Cricetulus griseus: one gene and its partners. The protein of the gene in region 2 purifies or fractionates together with the protein of the main gene of each other region. This does not show direct contact. Links are inferred from orthologs where the notes say so. Each region holds a gene or a part of one and is shown on either strand. Other genes may lie near its edges.

Region 1 (3,622 bases), on a different chromosome or scaffold from region 2:
CTTGCATACTTGATGCTTGTGGAGATGAGAAGATTGTATCAGATCCCCTAAAAAGGAAGTTATGGTTATGAGCCATAGTGTAGGTACTGGGAATTTAACCTGGGTTCTCTGCAAGAGTAACAAGTGCTCTTAGCCACTGAGCCATCTCTCCAGCCCTGTGGTGTTTAGTTTCACAGAGGCTGGATGGACTTTAGGCTTAAGTTGTTTCTATTCTTTACTATATAAAATATAAGGTAATTTGGTTCTTTTTCTCCCTATTCCAGGTTTGTGAAGTTTTCAATGCCCAGTGTTCCTGACTTTGAAACCCTGTTCTCACAGGTTCAGCTTTTCATTAGTACATGTAATGGCGAGCACATTCGATATGCAACAGATACGTGTAAGCTAATAGTCTTTCCTCTTCTTGAATGTATTTCCCTTTGCAGTGTTTATATTTTCAATATTTTGTTATTTTTGTTATTGTTGCATCTAGTTGCTGGGCTTTGCCATCAGCTAACAAATGCACTTGTGGAAAGAAAACAGGTAAGAAATGTTATTCAAGTATTCATAGTTCTGTTAAAATGTGTGCTTGAGTCATGAACTAGTGTAGTAAAAAAAAGTCTAGGCTCGGTACCTAATATCCCAATATGTGTGGTTCCTTGAGAGCACTCTGGCTAACATGTGATGCCTCCAGGGAGGTGACTGGTAGTGATGATTGTTTTTGAAGCTGCATGTCTGGGCTGGAAATGTGGCTCATTGGTAGAGAGCAGTTGCTTGGCACATATAAGGTACTTGACTACATGCCCAGCACTGAAGGAAGAAAACAAACAAACAAAAAACTACCCTTTGTATTATAATGATGCTATTTTTTTCCTTCTAGCTTTTGATTATGATGATTTTTACCATATCAAACACTGAAAGGATAATATAAAGACTTCTTATATCTCTTGACTTAGATTCTTCAAATGTTAGTGTTTCACTGCACTTGTTTATTCCCTCCCCCACCATTGGAGGAAATTCAATTGTAAATGTTTGTTCCTTATCTTAAATACCTTCAGTGGGAGCTTTCTAGACATTCTCCTAGGCCACAGTGAACATGGCCAGCGTCTGGAAATGGATGTTAAGATAGTGCTCTCACAAAACCTCAGATTCAAGCCAGATATGGCCAGATACATGCTTGATGATCTCTATAGCAAAAGCAGACCTTAGAGCATAGGTTGGTACTCATTGTTTCTCTTTAGTTTACTTTCACTTGGAATGGTTCTTAGACTTTGCCTTTGACACTAATTATAATTTGGGTGTTTCTTTTTTATTTGAAAATGAACTTTAAGGCCAGGAGGCTGAAAGCAGAAGGAGCCTTTGGTATTATGTAGGAGCACTAAACAGTTTGGTTAAAAGCTGTGGGGGTAAAGAGATGGCTTAGCACTTAAGAGCACTGGCTAAGAACCTGGGTTTGATACCAAGCATCTGCATGGTCACTTACAACTGAATGTAACTCTAGTTCTAGGGCATCCAATGCCCTCTTCTGGCCTCCAGGCACTCATGTGGTACATGCAGGCAGAAAACCTATGCACATTAAAAAAACAAAAACAGCTTTGTAGTCCCAGCACTGGAAGGTAGAGGCAGGAGGATCATGCATTCAAGGTTAACCTTGGCTACATATCTAGTTCAAGGTTAGACTGGGCCACACATGATCCCTGTCTTAAGGGTGGGTGATACTACAGTGTCACTTCCTGAGTGGTGGGGGGGGGGGGGAGGAGAGGAGAGCTGTTATCATGCCTCTTTATTGAAAAAGCTGTAAAATTATGTAGGTATATTCTAGCTTCTTCAGACCAGAGAGTAATGCTTCACTTGAGGCTGAATACTGTTATTTGTAACTGGGGGTGGAAAACAGCCTGCTTAGGATAGATTCAGTCTTTAGGGCTAATCTTCCAGTGAAAAACATGCAGCACCATCATTCACTTAGCTTCTGTTACAGTGCTAACTGTAGCTATTAGGAAATACTCTAGTTTTGTGTACATGTGTGTGCACATGTGTGCCCATGTATGTGGAGGTCACAGGTTGACACTGGGTGTCTTCTTCATTCACTCTCTACCTTGTTTTTGCCCTCTGACTGTCTAGACAAGCTAGCTAGTAAGCCAGAGAGATCCTCCTCCCTCTAGCTCTTGGGTGCTGGAATTAGGGGCTTGTACTGCCACATCCAGCTTTTAAATGGGTCCTGGGGATTGAACTCAGATCCTGATACTGACATGGCAAGAACTTTACCAACTGAGCCATCTCCCACCCTCAACAAAGTAATACAGTTTATTACTGATATTCATTATAAAAGAAAAAAAAGGTTTTGATTTAAAATATAATACTGAAATTTTCTTAAGTATTCTAAGAAACTTATCAAAACACTTTCTGACTGAATAGAGGCAGACATTTCCTGACATAGTATGGAAACCTTATTGCTATGTAAGGAACCTATCAATTAGTGTTGTTTTTTATTTGTAAGTGACAACATAAGATCCAATGTGCTGCCAACTTTGAGAACTTATCTGAAAGAGATGTCATTTCTGACAGCCCCTTCGAGGAATTGGCATCCTTAAGCAAGCCATAGACAAGATGCAGATGAATACAAACCAGCTGACCTCAGTACATGCCGATCTCTGCCAGGTATGCAGCAAGTGTGATTCACACCTGATCATTGGTGTGAGGCTATTTGTGGGTTTGCTCAACAAGATAATGGGTGGAGTGTGTGTTAAGGGGTTGACATATGGAGGGTGGGACTTACAAATAGGGGTATTGTAATGGTTGTAGCATTTTTTGAAATTTAAGTCATTTTCTATTCAATAAATTATAGAACTTGAAGAGTAAAAACACAGGCAGTGTTTTATACTTAAAACATTATTCATTTATTTATCTTATGCTAAGTAACTCAAAGTCCAAAAGACTCCCCAAAAGTGAGGATGTGTGATGAGGTCTCCCTGTCACTGTTGCTAGCCACAGTTCTTTTCAGAGGAAACCTTCATTGGTACTTTCTCGTGCATTTGTTCTACAGATACTTTACACAAACAAGCAAGTGTAAACACATACTTTTTCTTTGGTTTTCCAAGACAGGGTTTCTCTGTATAGCTTTGTAGACCAAAGCTTTGAGGCTGGCCTCAAACTCTCAGAGATGCGCCTGCTTCTGCAGAGTGCTGGGATTAAAGGCGTGCGCCACTAAAAGAAAAAGAAAAAGGAAAGCCCACAGATCCCAGTAATCTGTGTGGATTTCTATATATCTTGCTTTTTCCTATTTAATGCATCTTGAAGATGAATCTATGATCTCTGTTATGCTAGACTGCATTCTGTAATGTGTGTAGGTTTCATTGGAGCTACTGTGGAGTGTTTTGTGTTGTGGATACCTCTGACACATGTTCCTTTTTTTTTTTTTCAAAGTGCTTTTGGGATAGGAATAGCATATACCTAGTTTTTATTTGATTTGATTATTATTGGGTTTTTGTTTTGGTTTTTTTTTTTTTTTTGAGACAGTGTCTTTCTACATAAGCTCTAGTTGTCCTGGGATTCATTATGTAGACCAGGCTCGTCTCAAACTCGCAGAGATCTGCATGTGTCTGCCTCTAAATACTAGGATTAAAGGCATACGCAACAATACCTGATT
Region 2 (4,237 bases):
CACAACTGTCTATAACTCCAGTACCAAGGGACCCAACACTCTCACACAGACATACACGCAGGTAAAACACCAATGCACATAAGATAAAAAAAAAAAATTATATACACAAGAAAAAAAACAAACAAGAAGCAAACACACAAAAGCATTCTCAGGTTGACCAGCTTCAGTGGAGAGCTCTTGCCAGGTTCATGCCCTAGACTGTAATGTAGCATACAGACACTAGACTGGGAGTCATGTCTTGGGCGAGAGACACACACACACACACACACACACACACACACACACACACACACACACACACGGACACACGGACACACGGACACACACACACACACACACACACACACACACACACACACACACACACACACACACACACACACACACACACACACACGGACACCGACACGCTTCCTTAACCTGTCCCTGCTGACAGGTTTCAGAAGTATGTCCATTCACAAGCAAAGGGCAGCAAGGCTCACATGAAGCCCCACAGGTAAGTCAGTGCAAGACACCCACAGCACACTGAGGAGCAGCAGGTCCCTGCGGCCTTCTCAGAAAGGGAGGCGCCACACTGCCCCATGCCTTGGCGGGCATCCACAGTTATCATATTGGAAAGAGAAAGCTTTGCACACAGACTGGGTCTGGAAGGTTCCGGACACTTCACCATGAGAGAGACAACTTGAGTGGAGTTTATTAAGTCCTGAAAACAAAGAAGCCTTTTTGACTGGGCCAGCTGTCAGCCAAGCTGCCCCTTCCAGGCTGTGACTGTGCATGTGGGTCAGAGGCAGCCCACATGCCCACAGCCTCAGGGTTCCCACTACACCAGCCACACTAGTCCTCCATCACAGACACCTGGCCTTGGGTCATGTCATCCGAAGATCTCAGGACAGGGCAGTGTGTCAGACAGTCTGGTTTTTATCTTGTGTGTATGCAGGCGTCATAGCACACACATGGAAGCTGGGTCTGCTTTCACTGTGTGGGGCCCAGGGCCTTCACCCACAGAGCTATCTTGTCAAGTCCAGTTTTCCTTATGGCTGGTCTAAAACCTGAAGCAATCTTCCTGCCTCAGTCTCTCTACCACTGAGATAATAGGTGCTACTTGCCCAGACCAACTCCAGCTCTTGAGGAACAGTCCAAACACCTTACAGCAAGCACCCTAGCCATCTAGGAGCTGGTGGCCTCCAACAGACTGTGTCCAACGTCCCTCTAAGCTCACACGTGACACCTGTCACTCCCATGCCTCCCCACTAATTCAGGTGGGGCCACTTCAGGGCCTACGAATCAATTTCTCTCACCTGAACCTGCCTGGCTCTGCAAGCCACACCCTGACTGGGCAATGTTAGGTACAGAAGGCATGAAACCTGAGATAGCTAGTGAGGGCTTTGCAGTCATGGATGGAGCTGTGGCGCCCTCAGTCACAAGCAGAAACAGTACACAGGCTTGCCATGTGCACATGGAATGCTACTGACCTCAAGCCAGAATCCAGGCAACCTGGACAGTCAGATACATTGGGCTGCCAGGGGCCATAACCCTGAAGCCAAAGGGGGCTGAAGACCTGGGAGGGGCTGCTTGCCTCAGCAGACCAGTAGACACCACCCAGATGTAAGGTTATCAGCCTAAGACACCTCCACTTTCAGAAAACAGTGATTTGGAACCAGGTTTTCCCCAGCTCAGGTCTCTAACCTCTAGCTGGTCACACCTGGAGGAACACCCCCAGGCCCCACAGAGCCAGAATAACCCAGGGCCAGTCCTATACAAGAAGCCAAACAGGTCTGAGGCTAGCCCAAGACACCAGCCTGCCCTGCTCCACCAGCTGGGTGCACACACTTGGTCCTGGGGAGCTACCCACCTCCCTGTGAGAACCACTCAAGAGCAGCGCCCAGCTGGCAAAAACAAGGAGCTCCCAGCTTTTCCTGGGACAGGACCACAAGCAAGGTCACCAGCCAGGCAGAGTCTCTGCCAGTGCTGGCCCCACAGATAAGGCCCCTTCTTGGAAGACAGTAGGTGAGGTTTCCTAAGTTCCGCCCAGCCGGACAGGCGATAGAGTTCCCAAGGCCCAGCGACACCAAGCACGCAGGACACCGCAGGGACCAGCGCCAACACTGGCTAGCTACCTCCTGCCCCTGCCTCCCGCCTCCCAGCCTGTGTTCACCATTATTTTTGGCCCCACCAGTTCCCTCTGACTCCGTAAACAAAGTAGCCACCCGCCTGGCAACGCCCGCCAAGGAAGCCAGGCCAGGCCCGCGCCAAGATCCGGCCGAAAAAAGAGGGCTGGACGTGGCCACACGACCTCCCCCCTAGGGAAGTCCTGGGGGCTGCCCTAGCACACAGTCCCTACGCGGTGACGCTTAGGGATAGTGGCAGAGAGGGGAGAGGAAAAAGAGGGAGGAAGGAAATGAGAAGGGGAGGAAGGTTAGAGGGGAGGAAAGAATAGGGCCAGGAAGTAGAGAGAAAAGAGGAAGGGCCGCCCGAAAGCTCAAGGCCGGCCCCAGGCCCTTGGCACCTACTTCTTGACGTTGGCCTCGCCATTGGGGATCCTGCGTAGCTTTTTCTTCTTGAGGATCTTGACCGCCCTGCGACACAAGGTCTCGGAGTCCAGCACCTCCTTCACCTTGCCGTACGAGCCCTCCCCGAGCAGGTCCCCCATCAGGTACTTGCCGATGAGCTTGGCGCGCTTGCGGCGCGGCTGGTAGATCACCTCGGTGGAATCGATGCGGTGGATGAAGGTGTCCATGCCCACCGAAATCAGCTCACTCTCTGGAAAAAGGCCCAGCGGCTGGGGATCCCCCACGTCCATCCTGGCCCAGTCTTTGTCCCCTTCAGGGACGCCAATTCTTTTCGAGTTCGAATCTCCCCCCCGCCCGCCCCGCCCCGCCCCGCTTCTTACAAATGTTCAAGAAGGAAAACGGAGAAAGAAAAAAAGCCTCCCCAACACTCCCGGTCCCCTCGACCGGGTCCACGTCCCCTTCGTGGGCGCCAATTCTTCACTTTTGACTTTTCCCCCTTTCTTCTAGATGTTCAATGAGGGAAAAAAAAAAAAAAGGAAAAGCAACGAACCCCGCCAACCCTCGCGTCCCCCCAATTCAGGTCCCCGGGGACGCTGCTTCCGACGGAGGCGACGGTCCGCCGTCGCGGCGCGCGGGCCGCTAGGTCATGGTCGCCACTCGGGCCCCGCGCTCAGGCGCCCAAGGCGGCAGCGCCGAGGCCGGTCCGCGCCGTCCATGTCCGGCCCGCGCCGACGCCCCGCGCGGCCCCTTAGTTCCGTGACTTCCCGGGACGCGGACTCCACCCGGACGCAGGGCACCGGGACACCCGCAGGCCGCAGGCACCGAAGTCGGGGTAGTGAATCTTCCGGAGACCGATGGGTAAAAAAACACCCCGGGCGGCGGGTCCCCCTCGCCGCCAAGCCGCCGCGCGACAGGCAGGAGGCCGGAGCGGCGAGGGGGGAATCGAACTTCAGGCAGAAAGATGCTGCCCGCGAGGGGAAACTCCAAGCCGGCGCCACCCTCCGCGGCTCGCGCCTCACTCGCGGACACCGTGAGCCGCCTCCCCTTCCCTAGACCGACACGCCGCCGCCATCTTGTTTACCGCCCTGCGCCGCGCCGTCGTCGCACGCCTCAACGGCGGACACGCCCCCTCGCGGAGCCGACGTGCGCGGCCGTTGGCTGTAGCCTTAAGTCCCGCCCCCAGACACGCCTCAATTCCCAACGCGGATTGGCCTATTTGGATCGGAGTAGGCGCTCGAGCTGACATTGGACAGCTCGGGTTCCACCTCAGAAGGCGGGACCTACGTTCTCATTGGTTGACTCAGACGCCCGTCAATGAGAATTGGAGTAAGCAAGCGACTGTAAAGGAGCGACATGAACGGCTGTGGGCGGTGGCTTCAAGCCCCGCCCCTCGGTGGGGCTCCAGAGATGGAATTGGTCAGCGCTGATGTGTGTAGGCGGGATCTTATCTCTGAATGGTCGTTACAGACGCCCGTCAGCCAGCGCGACTGACGAGCGGTAAGGTAGCTTGTAGAAGTGACCTCGGAGTTTCGGGACTCGGGTTAGAGTTCACGCGCGCCAACGTCCTCCGGAGAACGGCCGCGAGTGGGAGGGTGGAGAGACAGCCTTGCGGCTCCCTGAATTCACCCAGTCCGGCGTCGTTCCCAACGGCCCTTGGGAACGGGACAAAGGTCAAAAAGCGCCAAGCTGACAAACGGTACCCGGAGTCTTCCTGAAGCGCCGCCGGC
Region 3 (4,166 bases), on a different chromosome or scaffold from region 2:
TTTCTGGGGGAGTGGGTGGGGCTAGCCAGGCTGTCTTCGGAACTGTAGAACTGACTGTTCCCCCACATACTCTGGCCCAGAAGAAAAAAAAAAAAAAAAAAAAGCCGGCAGCTGCTGTATCTACAGCGCCTGTTGTTGTTTGCTGTGGTGTGTTACAACATGGCCTGGCAGCCTCCCGGGCTTTTCTTCCTCCTGGAAGAGTCTCCTCTCGGAACATGTGACAAGTCCACACAACCCTGCAGATTGGCCCACACTGCCCCTAGCTGTTCACTCAGTTCCTAAGCCGTTCCAGGTCTGCATGCTTTGTGAGCTCACAGCTTCCCACCTTCTGGGAGAGCCCTTCTTCACTCTTCTTTGTAGACACGTGCCACAGAACTAACTGGGGGTTACTCAAGTGTGGATGTCCCTGCCTGTGAGCCCGGAGCTGTCACGGGCTGGTACGGTGCCTTCTCACCTCCGTGCGCCCTCCTCCACACAGGGTGCAGTTCTTGCCCACTAGATGCAAAACCAGCTGGCATCAGTGAGCAGGACGGTTGCTATCCACATGGCGCTGTTGACCGAATTCATGTGAGCAGCTTGTGGCTCCCCTGGGAGGCTGGTTAAGGGGAAGTTTCCCGTCACTGAGACAGGACCCCTGCTCAAGAGGAGGTTCCTGTGTCAGTTTTGTCTTTTCTGCAGAGGTCTATGAAGAGAGGAAAGGAATGACCATACCATCCCCCGGCATGGTGACATATAGAAGGCCTTCAAATATTCTAAAGTATGACAATGCAAAAGAAACAAAAATAAATAACTAAAATAAAAGCAGAGAGAGACAGAGGAGAGGAGGAGGAAGAGGGAGAGGGAGGGAGGGAGGGAGGGAGGGAGGGAGGGAGAGAGAGACAGAAGAGAGGAGGAAGGGGAGGGAGGGAAGGAGAGCGAGAGCCTAGCACTCACCGGCCCTCTCTCAGAGGACCTGGGTGGCACCCGCAGCACGCCCTTGGCAGCTCACAGCTCCAGTCCTGGGAGATCCGACGCCCTCTTCCGGCCTCTGCGGGCCACCGCACCCACGCAGTGCGCAGACACACAGCAGGCGGGCACTCAAACGCGCTCTTAAAAAAAAAAAAAATTAGAAAACGAAGGTTCGCGCTCAAGTCCCCAGGTGCAGCTCCCGAATGTCGGAGGCAGTCACCCCGGGTTGGCCACGTGGCTGGGGGAGGGGTGTGGTCTTGAAGCTGAGCGGGCTCAGCAGCCCATCCTTGGGGCTCCTCTGTGTCGCCGTCCCCTGGGCTACTGCGCAGGGGAGGCAGAGCCCCGGGGGAGAGCGCGGCCACACCCACCGGGCGTCCCGAGAGAGCAGCGAGGTGCTGTTTTGGCTTTTCCCGGGGTCTAAGGAGCATCTTCGAGCTCACGAGGTTGCTGTCCGGGGTCCAGGCTGGTGAAGGGCGGGCTGGGTGGGCAGCAGGCGGGGCAGAGACTTGGCGGCGCTTAGTCTGGAGGCCAAGGACGCCGCCGAGAGGTGTCGGCCGGCTTCCTCCATCCCCGCTCTCCGGCCCCCACAAAGGCCAGGGGCCAGACACGTGGGCCGCGGCAGCGGAGGGGCGGGGATGCAAACCGACGGGGCGGGGCCTCATTTGCATAGACCGCGCGCGGCCACCAATGGGGACCGGCGGGGCCACAGCCCGCGCGCCTTTTGGGGGCGGATTGACAGCCCCGCGGCCCTATGGGAGGCGGGTCCTGCGGCCGGTGTGGGCGGGACGAAGCCGGGCGCTGCCCGGCGCACTAGCCGGCTCGCGGGCGCTGCCAGTCTCCGGCGGCGGCGTCCGGCGCGCGGCTGAGCTCGCGGAGCGTGCGGACCGGCGGCCTGCTGGCCGGGCAGAGAGGGCGGCTGAGCGGCGCGCGCGGGGGCGGAGAGACGCGGAGCCCGAGACGCGGCGGCGGCGGCGGCGACGGCGACAGGTACGGGCGCCATGGCCGCGGGGATGGGGCGCGAGCTTGCGCGCGCTCGGTGGACCCGGGAGTCAGCCGTGCGCCGGCGATCGCGCCTCCGCCGCCCCTCGCGCGGCTTCCCCGGGGCGGCGTGGACGGGACGTGCGGGAGACCCCGGGCCCCGCGGGGGCCCGCGCCGCGGCGCGGTGCAGCGATCCGCAGGGCGCCTGGGCGTGCCGCGCGGGCGCGCCGCCCTCACCTGCCCGGCCGGCCCGCCGCTCCGGGCCGGCAGGTGACCGGGGGGCGCGGAGGTAGAGCGAGAGGGGAAAACAAACAAACAAAAGCCAATTAAAAGTTGCTTTCGGCGCCTCCGAGGTGGTAGAGCGGGCACAGGCGCTTGTCGCCAAGTGTGACGACCTGAGTTAGATCCCCGGAACCGAGGTGGTCTGAGGCGAACCGGCTCCCGAGAGTTGTCCTCTGACCTCCACGTGTATAAGACATACACACACACACACACACACACACACACACACACACACACGCTCACACACACATGCTCATGCTCACACACACACACACACACGCATGCTCATGCTCACACGCTCACACACACATACACATGCTCTCTCTCACACACACACATGCTCATGCTCACACACGCGCACACACACACACGCATGCTCATGCTCACACACGCTCACACACACACACACATACACACACGCTCTCACACACATGCTCATGCTCACACACGCTCACACACACACACACACACACACACACGCATGCTCATGCTCACACACGCTCACACACACGCACACATGCTCACACTCCCTCCCAATAATAAAGAAATGAAAGTTGTGTTGGAGTCTCCTTCCCTTCTGCCCTGGGACATCACAACCACCGTCCCGGCCAAAGCCCCCTACTCGGAACCCGGCGTGAGTTTAACGTGTGTGTGAGAGAAAGTGCGTGTCCGCCAGAAGCGAAGGGAGCGCACTGCGCTGTGGTCATCTTCACCGTCCTCGCTGTGGGTGAGCCGGGGGGAGCGCTCGCGCCCTGCTCTTTACACAGGGGTTTCGGCGGCGGCAGCGGCGGTGGCGAAAGCTGTGGGAGGCACAGGTCGTGCAGGGCTCGGGACACTGTGTACCGCGCCTGGCTGCCTGCCGTTCAGTCAACTCTGCAAGCTGCAGTTGGGAACTGGTGGTTTGGGGATTTTTTTTTTTTTCCCAGCGGACTGAGACTGAGCGTTGAATGGGCACTTTCTTTGCCTTCCCTAGGAGTAGGAGAGAGTGCTGATTTTCATTGTCTTTCCATTTTCTTAGGGTAGAGGACAAGGGAAAAGTTAACATGTATTTAAGAATTTTGTCCCTCCCCTTCTTGCTGTTAGTGTTTGCTATGTGGTTATTATTATTATTATTATTATTATAGAATTGTAGTAGTTCCTACTCTTGGTGCCCGAATCAATTCAAGGTATGACTTGAAAAATATTCTGCTGGGACATTCTTACTCTGTCGTATTTTCACTTAACCATTTTCTGTTTGCCTCTCTCCCAGCTGTCCGGTATGTGCTGAACAGTCTTCTGACAGCTTTTACTTTGGGGTTTCTACAGAAATGGTGTATTTTAACCATCTTTAAATGCAAAGGTTAATAACATTCATGATTCGTTAGAAACACGCGCTTTGGTTTTCTTCCTTTCTCACTTCTAACGTGTCTTGTGTGGGAACTGCACTGGGTGTAGTCTGTATTTCAGAGCACAGTTAATTTTTATTTAATTGCACTAATTAATTGAGTGGTCATTTTATTCATCTAGATAGTTTGAGTTAGCTATTGGTTGGGACCACTTGAGATTATTTTAAGTTAATGTAGGAATATCCTTTTTAAATTGTTTTAAAACAGTGAGTTCATGCATGAATGAGGTTTTTGTCATTCCAACCTTTTTTAAAAGTATGTTTCTCAATATTTACTTTTCAGTTACTTGACATTTGAGAGGATTTATTTTTATTCTTCTTAAATTTTATCATTTATTTATTTATTTATTTATTTATTATTGAGACCATGCTGGCACAGGTGTGGCTGTCAGAGGACAACTTTGGAGTTGGTTTTCTCCTTCCACGATGTGAATCCTGAACTTCAAATTCAAGTGGTCCAGCTTAGTGGCAAATGACTTTCCCTGCTGAGCAATCTCACCAGCCTGGATTTCTTTATAATACATAATTTAAATCACTTCAACATGAAAAGCTTCCAGTTTGGGTTTAGGCAAG

The links.
Region 1: the proteins of Stk11 (region 2) and Cops3 purify together in Homo sapiens (affinity purification with mass spectrometry; 5 studies listed by BioGRID and IntAct, with this or other methods). This does not show direct contact. The link is inferred for Cricetulus griseus from reciprocal best matches to the Homo sapiens genes STK11 and COPS3.
Region 3: the proteins of Stk11 (region 2) and Fkbp5 purify together in Homo sapiens (affinity purification with mass spectrometry; 8 studies listed by BioGRID and IntAct, counting the BioPlex papers as one, with this or other methods). This does not show direct contact. The link is inferred for Cricetulus griseus from reciprocal best matches to the Homo sapiens genes STK11 and FKBP5.

The regions. Positions count from the first base shown.
Region 1 is NC_048600.1:73,949,296-73,952,917, reverse strand, and holds part of Cops3 (COP9 signalosome complex subunit 3), read left to right. Parts: intron 1-263; coding exon 264-376; intron 377-469; coding exon 470-519; intron 520-2,541; coding exon 2,542-2,634; intron 2,635-3,622. UniProt on the Homo sapiens protein: Component of the COP9 signalosome complex (CSN), a complex involved in various cellular and developmental processes.
Region 2 is NC_048598.1:100,914,789-100,919,025, reverse strand, and holds the start of Stk11 (serine/threonine-protein kinase STK11), read right to left. Parts: upstream 2,829-4,237; 5' UTR 2,801-2,828; coding exon 2,511-2,800; intron 1-2,510. UniProt on the Homo sapiens protein: Tumor suppressor serine/threonine-protein kinase that controls the activity of AMP-activated protein kinase (AMPK) family members, thereby playing a role in various processes such as cell metabolism, cell polarity, apoptosis and DNA damage response.
Region 3 is NW_023276806.1:233,602,889-233,607,054, reverse strand, and holds the start of Fkbp5 (peptidyl-prolyl cis-trans isomerase FKBP5), read left to right. Parts: upstream 1-1,275; 5' UTR 1,276-1,391; exon of another isoform or gene 1,392-1,559; intron 1,560-1,790; exon of another isoform or gene 1,791-1,935; intron 1,936-4,166. UniProt on the Homo sapiens protein: Immunophilin protein with PPIase and co-chaperone activities. Component of unligated steroid receptors heterocomplexes through interaction with heat-shock protein 90 (HSP90).